4 linked regions of the Saccharomyces cerevisiae S288C genome follow. The protein of the gene in region 1 purifies or fractionates together with the protein of each later gene. This does not show direct contact. Each region holds a gene or a part of one and is shown in the gene's direction. Other genes may lie near its edges.

Region 1 (2,671 bases):
ATCTCTTGCCCTTCCCACAGATTGATGAAAATGTTCTATTGACTCATTCCCTTTATAACATGGAAAATGTAAACATGTATTATCCCAACTTACGTTCTTTGCAGAGTGCCACAGAGTCAATACTGGTTGATGATATGGTCAATTCGTTGCAGAGCTTGATTTTTGAAACTAATAGTATCATAACAAATGTTGTGTCGATAGGTAATCTGTCTAAGAGATGTAGCCATCTTTTGAAGAAACGAATCGATGAGCATCAAACAGAGAATGATTTATTCATCAAGGGTACGCTTTATGGTGAACGAACCAACTGTGGACTAGAAATGGACTTGATTATCTTGGAAAGGAATACCGATCCTATAACGCCATTGTTGACACAACTTACGTATGCAGGAATACTAGATGATCTATATGAATTCAATTCTGGCATAAAGATAAAGGAGAAAGACATGAACTTCAATTATAAGGAAGATAAAATATGGAATGATTTGAAATTTTTAAATTTTGGGTCGATTGGGCCGCAGTTAAATAAATTGGCAAAGGAACTACAAACGCAATATGATACAAGGCATAAAGCCGAGAGCGTACATGAAATCAAAGAATTCGTTGATTCCTTAGGTTCTTTGCAACAAAGGCAAGCTTTTTTGAAAAATCACACAACCTTATCATCCGACGTTTTGAAAGTGGTAGAGACTGAAGAGTACGGATCTTTCAATAAAATCTTAGAGTTAGAGCTGGAAATTTTGATGGGAAATACACTTAATAACGACATTGAAGATATTATACTCGAGTTGCAGTACCAGTACGAGGTTGATCAAAAGAAGATTCTCAGATTAATCTGTTTATTGTCTCTTTGTAAAAATTCACTTCGAGAAAAGGATTATGAATATCTAAGAACCTTTATGATCGACTCTTGGGGCATTGAAAAATGCTTTCAACTTGAATCATTGGCTGAGTTAGGATTTTTCACTAGCAAAACGGGAAAAACTGATTTGCATATTACAACAAGTAAGTCAACAAGATTACAGAAAGAATACCGTTATATTTCACAATGGTTCAATACAGTACCCATAGAAGACGAGCATGCTGCCGATAAAATCACAAATGAGAACGATGACTTCTCGGAAGCCACTTTTGCTTACAGTGGTGTAGTGCCCTTGACAATGAGACTGGTTCAGATGTTATATGATAGGTCTATCTTGTTCCATAATTATTCCTCGCAGCAGCCTTTTATACTGTCAAGAGAACCTAGAGTTTCTCAAACGGAGGATTTAATTGAACAGTTATATGGAGACTCACATGCGATCGAAGAGAGTATATGGGTCCCGGGAACCATTACAAAAAAGATCAATGCAAGCATCAAGAGCAATAATAGACGGTCCATAGACGGATCTAATGGGACATTTCATGCTGCAGAGGATATTGCACTCGTAGTATTCCTCGGAGGTGTAACAATGGGTGAAATAGCTATAATGAAGCATTTGCAAAAAATACTAGGTAAAAAAGGTATCAATAAAAGGTTTATCATCATCGCCGATGGCTTGATCAATGGCACAAGGATCATGAACTCTATATCTTAATTATTATATGATAGATTTGTTAATTTTTTGTATATGCAAATGTGCTTTTTTTCACCAAACGGTTTGCACCAATCATACGAGAGAAGTGTTCGGTGTTTACGGAAAAGCTAGGGGACTAAGAAAAATTGAAAATAAAGGCTGACAGCAGTAGAAACCATTGTGCTGGCTTAGTGATTTATAAGAATGGTTAATTAGTTTTGTATCCTTTAATTTTCTAGATAGAGCCACAGAGCAAACTAAACAGAAAAGTTATCCATTTCCATTACGCAATGTTGTGCCAACAGATGATTAGAACGACAGCTAAGAGAAGTAGCAATATCATGACCAGACCTATTATCATGAAGAGGTCAGTACACTTCAAAGACGGTGTGTATGAAAATATCCCATTCAAAGTCAAAGGAAGAAAGACACCTTACGCCTTATCTCATTTCGGGTTCTTCGCTATTGGATTTGCTGTTCCATTTGTTGCCTGCTATGTTCAATTGAAAAAGTCAGGTGCTTTTTAAAACACCCCCATAAGTTTGAAGGATAGATGTGTGTACATAGCGTGCTTGGTTGAGACGTTTTAGAGTGTGTTCTTTGCTATTCCTAGGTGCGCATATCATCGTTTTATTTATTTGTACAATTTTCTTTTCATATATTCATAATCCTCTCCTTGTGCCTTCGTATTGAGACGGCGGGAAAGAAGGATCTAAGAAGAACATAATTCGACAAATTTCTTCTAAAATAATACCATATATAGTAACACATAAGAAAATAGAATAACTTTTATAATACAGTAACATACTCTATCTATTCTGAAGGCTGTTTTCGTCACGGGGAATCCTTACACCTATTTACCTAATCCTTCTAAACTTATTGTTTTTCTTGCTACTACCCAACACAGTATTACTTGAGCGAGGTGGCAGATGATTATCACTCTTCAAATGTGTATTAGTCAGTTGCTGAGTTGAATTGGACCGCTTTAGTATATTTGATTTCGGCAGTTTACTTTGTTGCAATGAGTTCGATGAAGATGAAAAGGCAAGACCACTGCTTCTTACGTGTGAGCTCAAGTTGTGTGTTATTCTATTCGAACCGCTGATAGTATTATT
Region 2 (2,937 bases), on another chromosome or scaffold:
TATTTATTATGTTTAATTATTTATAATTTATTATAATATATAGTATAAGATATCTTATTTATATTTATATATAATAAAGAATATTATTAAACTAACACCTATATTATATATATTATATTATATAATATTATATATATATTAATTACTAAGAATAAATTTATAATTAGATAATATTTATATTTATTTATTTATTTAATTAACAAATATATTAATATTTTTAATTAATTAATAATACCTTTATATATATATATATATATATATTAATTTTAATTATATAATTATCTTTTTTATTAATAATTATAAATATATTATATATTTTATATAATAAGATTATAATTTTATAATTATTTTATTTTTTATTAAAAATTATTATTATTATAATTATTATATTATAATTATAAATTATTAAAGAATATATTTATTAATATTTTAATAATTAATATCTTTTATTTATATTTATAAAATAAGGTATAAATATTGATAATAAAGAGTAAATATTGTATTAATTATAATAATAATTATAATTAAGGAGCTTGTATAGTTTAATTGGTTAAAACATTTGTCTCATAAATAAATAATGTAAGGTTCAATTCCTTCTACAAGTAATAATGATTATAATATTTATATATATTAAAATAATATTAATAAATAATTACTCCTCCTAGCAGGATTCACATCTCCTTCGGCCGGACTCCTTCGGGGTCCGCCCCGCGGGGGCGGGCCGGACTATTTTATTATTATTAAATAGATGTTCATTAAATAATTATAAATATAATTTATCTTTTAAATATATATATATAATATAATATTTAAATATATATTATAAATAAATAAATAAATAATTAATTAATAAAAACATATAATGTATATTTATCTATAAAAAATATTAATTAAATTAATATATTATTACAGTTCCGGGGGCCGGCCACGGGAGCCGGAACCCCGAAGGAGATAAATAAATAAATAAATATAAATAATTCTTCTTCTTTAAAATTAAATAAAATAAAATAAAAAGGGGGGCGGACTCCTTCGGGGTCCCGCCCCCCTCCGCGGGGCGGACTATTTTATTTTTAAATATATATTATATTAATAATATAAATATAAGTCCCCGCCCCGGCGGGGACCCCGAAGGAGTATAAATAAAAATTAATAATATATTATATATATATTATATTAATAATAATAATAATAATAATAATAATAAATAATAACTCCTTGCTTCATACCTTTATAAATAAGGTAATCACTAATATATTATAATAATAAAAATTATATATATTATATATAATCTAAATATTATATATTTTAATAAATATTAATATATATGATATGAATATTATTAGTTTTTGGGAAGCGGGAATCCCGTAAGGAGTGAGGGACCCCTCCCTAACGGGAGGAGGACCGAAGGAGTTTTAGTATTTTTTTTTTTTTAATAAAATATATATTTATATGATTAATAATATTATATATATTATTTATAAAAATAATATATAATTTTAATTATTTTTAATAAAAAAAGGTGGGGTTGATAATATAATATAATATTTTTTATTTTAATTTATAATATATAATAATAAATTATAAATAAATTTTAATTAAAAGTAGTATTAACATATTATAAATAGACAAAAGAGTCTAAAGGTTAAGATTTATTAAAATGTTAGATTTATTAAGATTACAATTAACAACATTCATTATGAATGATGTACCAACACCTTATGCATGTTATTTTCAGGATTCAGCAACACCAAATCAAGAAGGTATTTTAGAATTACATGATAATATTATGTTTTATTTATTAGTTATTTTAGGTTTAGTATCTTGAATGTTATATACAATTGTTATAACATATTCAAAAAATCCTATTGCATATAAATATATTAAACATGGACAAACTATTGAAGTTATTTGAACAATTTTTCCAGCTGTAATTTTATTAATTATTGCTTTTCCTTCATTTATTTTATTATATTTATGTGATGAAGTTATTTCACCAGCTATAACTATTAAAGCTATTGGATATCAATGATATTGAAAATATGAATATTCAGATTTTATTAATGATAGTGGTGAAACTGTTGAATTTGAATCATATGTTATTCCTGATGAATTATTAGAAGAAGGTCAATTAAGATTATTAGATACTGATACTTCTATAGTTGTACCTGTAGATACACATATTAGATTCGTTGTAACAGCTGCTGATGTTATTCATGATTTTGCTATTCCAAGTTTAGGTATTAAAGTTGATGCTACTCCTGGTAGATTAAATCAAGTTTCTGCTTTAATTCAAAGAGAAGGTGTCTTCTATGGAGCATGTTCTGAGTTGTGTGGGACAGGTCATGCAAATATGCCAATTAAGATCGAAGCAGTATCATTACCTAAATTTTTGGAATGATTAAATGAACAATAATTAATATTTACTTATTATTAATATTTTTAATTATTAAAAATAATAATAATAATAATAATTATAATAATATTCTTAAATATAATAAAGATATAGATTTATATTCTATTCAATCACCTTATATTAAAAATATAAATATTATTAAAAGAGGTTATCATACTTCTTTAAATAATAAATTAATTATTGTTCAAAAAGATAATAAAAATAATAATAAGAATAATTTAGAAATAGATAATTTTTATAAATGATTAGTAGGATTTACAGATGGAGATGGTAGTTTTTATATTAAATTAAATGATAAAAAATATTTAAGATTTTTTTATGGTTTTAGAATACATATTGATGATAAAGCATGTTTAGAAAAGATTAGAAATATATTAAATATACCTTCTAATTTTGAAGAACTACTTAAAACAATTATATTAGTAAATTCACAAAAGAAATGGTTATATTCTAATATTGTAACTATTTTTGATAAGTATCCTTGTTTAACAATTAAATATTATAGTTATTATAAATGAAAAATA
Region 3 (2,886 bases), on another chromosome or scaffold:
CGTTTCTTTACAATGGTCCAAAATATCCGCATGTCAGGAAAATCACCCAGGATTAATTGAGTGCATTCAATCAAAAATTCACTTTATCCCTAATATCAAACCACAAACTGATATTTCGTTAGGAGATTGTTCCTATTTGGATACCTGTCATAAATTAAATACGTGTCGATACATTCATTACCTGCAATATATTCCGTCATGCTTGCAAGAGCGAGCTGATCGTGAAACTGCGAGTGAAAATAAAAGAATACGGTCAAACGTTTCCATTCCATTTTATACTCTGGGCAATTGCTCCGCACATTGTATCAAAAAGGCTTTACCTGCACAGTGGATCCGTTGCGATGTGCGGAAATTTGATTTTAGGGTTCTTGGAAAGTTTTCGGTAGTTATTGCAGATCCTGCATGGAATATCCATATGAACCTACCATACGGTACTTGCAACGATATTGAACTATTAGGTTTGCCTTTGCACGAACTACAAGATGAAGGTATTATTTTTCTTTGGGTGACGGGTAGAGCTATAGAATTGGGTAAAGAGTCTTTGAATAACTGGGGTTACAACGTGATAAATGAAGTTTCATGGATAAAGACAAACCAACTGGGTAGAACAATTGTTACAGGTCGTACGGGTCATTGGTTAAATCATTCTAAGGAGCATTTATTGGTGGGCTTAAAGGGTAATCCAAAGTGGATCAACAAACATATTGACGTCGATTTGATCGTATCAATGACCAGAGAGACTAGTAGAAAGCCTGATGAACTGTATGGTATAGCAGAACGGTTGGCAGGCACCCATGCCAGAAAACTAGAGATATTCGGAAGGGATCACAATACGCGGCCTGGCTGGTTTACCATCGGAAACCAGTTGACAGGAAATTGCATTTACGAAATGGATGTCGAGAGGAAGTACCAGGAGTTTATGAAGAGCAAAACTGGAACCAGCCACACTGGTACTAAAAAAATCGACAAAAAGCAACCTTCAAAATTACAGCAGCAGCATCAGCAGCAGTATTGGAATAATATGGATATGGGGAGTGGTAAGTATTATGCTGAGGCCAAGCAGAATCCTATGAATCAAAAACATACTCCCTTTGAATCCAAACAGCAACAAAAACAACAATTCCAAACACTAAATAACCTATATTTTGCTCAGTAAAGCGTTAAATAATCCTTTTAAACATTAATAGCATTGCATAAAAAAGATGGTCATAAAAAAGACTGCAGCGGGAAGTAAATGGTTTCCTGGTCTGTATTAGACAAACTTTGGAATAGAGAAGGATATGGTTTATGTCCAATAATTATTATCCGAGTCCGTGTATTTTTTTACATCAACTGGAACAATTTATTACCCGGATGTTTAAAAATTGTTGTCGCCTGGAGAAAGCTAATACTAGTTCTGGCCATATTTTCAACCATTAAACACTACTAATGTAATTACTTGACTTATTTGCTCCCACTCTTGGTCGGTTCTTTCCCATGGCGCATTCTACCATTCTTTTTTTCTACTCCAATCGTTCTTACTGGAAACTGTGGGAATAGCGAAGAACGACTATTATTTGCTAATACAGAGTAAGCTATCCTGCTGAATAGGTAGACGATAGTAGTAACCCAACGCCGCTATCCTTTCGATTATACCGCTATGAATGTAGTGATATGGTGCGGTATTGACACAATATAGTAATTTCGGGTAATTTTTTTTCCCACCAATGAGAGGCGGTACTGGGAGTATCGGTCTAAGAGAATCGAAAAATAACCCCCAGCTGGGATGTGATCACGATGAGTGACGGGATACATTAAATATAACAAACATACACGTTGCCTTGAACGTTTTCACTACACATCGCATGTGTTTTATCTAGATTTAAAATCATATTACTACAGTTCTACAGTTATACAAATAACAAACAATAGAAAAATGTTTAGACAGTGTGCTAAGAGATATGCATCTTCATTACCCCCAAATGCTTTGAAACCTGCATTTGGCCCACCAGATAAAGTGGCAGCTCAAAAATTTAAAGAATCATTAATGGCCACTGAAAAGCATGCGAAGGACACATCTAATATGTGGGTTAAAATCTCAGTTTGGGTCGCCCTACCAGCAATTGCTTTAACAGCTGTGAACACATACTTTGTTGAAAAGGAGCATGCTGAGCATCGTGAACATTTGAAACATGTGCCAGACTCCGAATGGCCAAGGGATTACGAGTTTATGAATATCAGGTCTAAGCCTTTTTTCTGGGGTGACGGTGATAAGACATTATTCTGGAATCCTGTTGTCAACAGGCACATCGAGCACGACGATTAATTAATTGATTAAGTGAGAATAAACTTTTCGAAAAATTTTTATTTATGATAATTTTACTAATTCTTACTTATTTCTTTTATATTCGATAAAAAAAATTCAAAATAAAAAAAGATTAATCCTTTGATAGGAACTAAAGGTACTAGGTATTTTGGGCGGCGAAGCATCATTCCGTTCTTAAACATCTATATATATATAATTATATTGCAAATGTATAAGCATTTAAAAACATAAACATGCACCTATGAAGAAGAATTTAAGACGTTTTATTTTTATGTTCCACGCGTTTTGGTGAAGTGATGAAAGAAGTCCTGATAAAGGGATGTCGGATTAATAATTGATACAGTGTTTATAAGATAGCTAATCAGAAAAAAAACGAAAGAAAATGGTATAAGTCTCAGAATAATGATAATAAAACACGCTTGAAGTAGAATAAAAATATAAGTAGAGAAGATAAAATAAAAAAATAAAGATAGAAAGATTTTCAATGAGGGGCAAATCTAAATCTAAAAAATTTGAATTCAAGTTCAATTTAAATTTCAATTAAAACAGTAGTAGTATGTGGGGAAGATATGGGATAAAAA
Region 4 (3,132 bases), on another chromosome or scaffold:
ATAAGTATTATATTATATATAGCTTTTATAGCTTAGTGGTAAAGCGATAAATTGAAGATTTATTTACATGTAGTTCGATTCTCATTAAGGGCAATAATAATAATATATTAATTAATAATTAATTTATAATAAATATATTATAATAATTAATATATATATATATAATATATTTAATACAAAGAAAATATATATTATATCTCTTATTTATTTATTTATTAATATTTTAATAAATATAATATTATAAAAAAAAGTTTATATATTTAGTTCCGGGGCCCGGCCACGGGAGCCGGAACCCCGGTAGGAGAAATATAAATATAAATATAAATATAATATAAGTTTGGTATTCATTTAATTATATTATTTAATTAAAAATATTCTAAATAAGAATAAATATCAATAAAGGAGTTATAAATATATATATATATTAATATATATATAAAAATATATATTATTATTAGTTCCCGCTTTGCGGGAACCCCGTAAGGAGTGAGGGACCCCATGGGAACCGAACCCCTATTTAAGAAGGAGTTTTATTATAATAAAATTTATATATATTTAATATATAATTATAAAAATATTATATAATAAATAATAAATAATTATTAATAATAAATAAATATAATAATAATATTATAATAAATTTATAAATGATTATAATAAATTTATATTAATTTTTTATTTTGTAAATACTAAGATTTGAACTTAGATAATATGCACCTAAAAACATACATTTTACCATTAAATTATATTTACCTTATTAATTATATAAAATTTATTAAATATATAATATATTAATTATATAAAAATTATTAAATAAATATATAATATATTATATATAATTTATAATATATATATTATAAATATTATTATATATAAAATATAATATACTACTTATAAAAATATATATATATATATAAATATATATATAAATAAATATTTTATATATTAAATTAAATAATTATTAATAAATTTAATTATAAAGTATAATTTTCAATAGGAATATTTATAAGATTATAATAATTATATGAATTATTATAATTATATATATATAAATAAATAAAATAATAATTATAATAATTAATAAGAGTTTTGGATATATATCTGTGGAGTATATATTTTATAAAGGAGATTAGCTTAATTGGTATAGCATTCGTTTTACACACGAAAGATTATAGGTTCGAACCCTATATTTCCTAAATCTAGATATAATATTATATCTATCTTAATATAATAATATTTATTTATTAAATAAAAAAAAAATAAATAATATTAATTAATATAAGATTCTTTTTTAATTATAATAATAAATAAATAAAAAGAAGATATTATCAATGATTTATATTAATAATAAATATAAATAATAAAAAATATATATAATATAATATAATAAATATATTTCCTTTAATATTAATAAATTAATAATAATAATAATAATAATAATAAAATATTTAAATAAATTATATTCAATACAAATTAATTATTTATATTATTAATAATTGAATAAATAATCCGGTCGAAAGAGATATTAATTCGATTATATTATTTATTTAATTATATTTAATTTAAATATATAAATTAATATATATATATTGAATTATATATAAATTTATTTTATAATTTTATAAATAATATATTATTATAAATATTTAATATAATTTATATTATTATTAAATAAAAGATTTATTAAATTAATATTATTATTTAATTTTATTATATAGTTTAAGGGATAATATTTTATTAATATTTTTTTTATTTATTTATTTAATTATATTATATATATAATATATATATAACAATAAATTTATGACACATTTAGAAAGAAGTAGACATCAACAACATCCATTTCATATGGTTATGCCTTCACCATGACCTATTGTAGTATCATTTGCATTATTATCATTAGCATTATCACTAGCATTAACAATGCATGGTTATATTGGTAATATGAATATGGTATATTTAGCATTATTTGTATTATTAACAAGTTCTATTTTATGATTTAGAGATATTGTAGCTGAAGCTACATATTTAGGTGATCATACTATAGCAGTAAGAAAAGGTATTAATTTAGGTTTCTTAATGTTTGTATTATCTGAAGTATTAATCTTTGCTGGTTTATTCTGAGCTTATTTCCATTCAGCTATGAGTCCTGATGTACTATTAGGTGCATGTTGACCACCCGTAGGTATTGAAGCTGTACAACCTACCGAATTACCTTTATTAAATACTATTATCTTATTATCTTCTGGTGCTACTGTAACTTATAGTCATCATGCCTTAATCGCAGGTAATAGAAATAAAGCCTTATCAGGTTTATTAATTACATTCTGATTAATTGTTATTTTTGTTACTTGTCAATATATTGAATATACTAATGCTGCATTCACTATCTCTGATGGTGTTTATGGTTCAGTATTCTATGCTGGTACAGGATTACATTTCTTACATATGGTAATGTTAGCAGCTATGTTAGGTGTTAATTATTGAAGAATGAGAAATTATCATTTAACAGCTGGACATCATGTTGGATATGAAACAACTATTATTTATCTACATGTTTTAGATGTTATCTGATTATTTTTATACGTAGTCTTCTACTGATGAGGAGTCTAAGGCTATAGAATTATATATCTAAATGATTAATATATATATTATTAATAATTAACAATAATTAATATATTATAATTTATATATATATATTTTATATTATTATAATAATATTCTTACAAATATAATTATTATATATTATTCCTTCAAAACTCCTAACGGGGTTCCCGCGAAGCGGGAACTAATAATAATATAATCATTATACTCTTTTTTCATTTACCTTTTATAAAGATAATTAATAAATTTATTTAATATTTATAAAAAAAAAAATATAATATTAATATAATATAATATAATAATGTAATTATTTATATTTTTATATTCCTTCGAGGTCACCGCCTCACCTCCAGCGGGACTTTTTTAATATGATATAATATAATATAAATATTATTAATTTAACTAATATATAAATTCATATATATATATATATTATTAATATTATTTTATAAAAAATATTTTTTATTTGATTATTATTAAATATTATATAGTTCCGGGGCCCGGCCACGGGAGCCGGAACCCCGAAAG

What was found.
Region 2: the proteins of COX8 (region 1) and COX2 purify together in Saccharomyces cerevisiae (affinity purification with mass spectrometry; 4 studies listed by BioGRID, with this or other methods). This does not show direct contact.
Region 3: the proteins of COX8 (region 1) and COX13 purify together in Saccharomyces cerevisiae (affinity purification with mass spectrometry; 2 studies listed by BioGRID). This does not show direct contact.
Region 4: the proteins of COX8 (region 1) and COX3 purify together in Saccharomyces cerevisiae (affinity purification with western blotting; 2 studies listed by BioGRID, with this or other methods). This does not show direct contact.

The regions. Positions count from the first base shown.
Region 1 is NC_001144.5:909,141-911,811, reverse strand, and holds COX8 (cytochrome c oxidase subunit VIII), read left to right. Parts: upstream 1-1,846; coding exon 1,847-2,083; downstream 2,084-2,671. Other genes in the region: tethering complex ATP-binding subunit VPS33, read left to right, coding at 1-1,577; SUMO ligase CST9, read right to left, coding at 2,414-2,671. UniProt on the Saccharomyces cerevisiae protein: Component of the cytochrome c oxidase, the last enzyme in the mitochondrial electron transport chain which drives oxidative phosphorylation.
Region 2 is NC_001224.1:72,101-75,037, forward strand, and holds COX2 (cytochrome c oxidase subunit 2), read left to right. Parts: upstream 1-1,657; coding exon 1,658-2,413; downstream 2,414-2,937. Other genes in the region: Q0255 (maturase-like protein), read left to right, coding at 2,395-2,937. UniProt on the Saccharomyces cerevisiae protein: Component of the cytochrome c oxidase, the last enzyme in the mitochondrial electron transport chain which drives oxidative phosphorylation.
Region 3 is NC_001139.9:142,893-145,778, forward strand, and holds COX13 (cytochrome c oxidase subunit VIa), read left to right. Parts: upstream 1-1,915; coding exon 1,916-2,305; downstream 2,306-2,886. Other genes in the region: IME4 (mRNA (N6-adenosine)-methyltransferase), read left to right, coding at 1-1,156. UniProt on the Saccharomyces cerevisiae protein: Component of the cytochrome c oxidase, the last enzyme in the mitochondrial electron transport chain which drives oxidative phosphorylation.
Region 4 is NC_001224.1:77,410-80,541, forward strand, and holds COX3 (cytochrome c oxidase subunit 3), read left to right. Parts: upstream 1-1,803; coding exon 1,804-2,613; downstream 2,614-3,132. UniProt on the Saccharomyces cerevisiae protein: Component of the cytochrome c oxidase, the last enzyme in the mitochondrial electron transport chain which drives oxidative phosphorylation.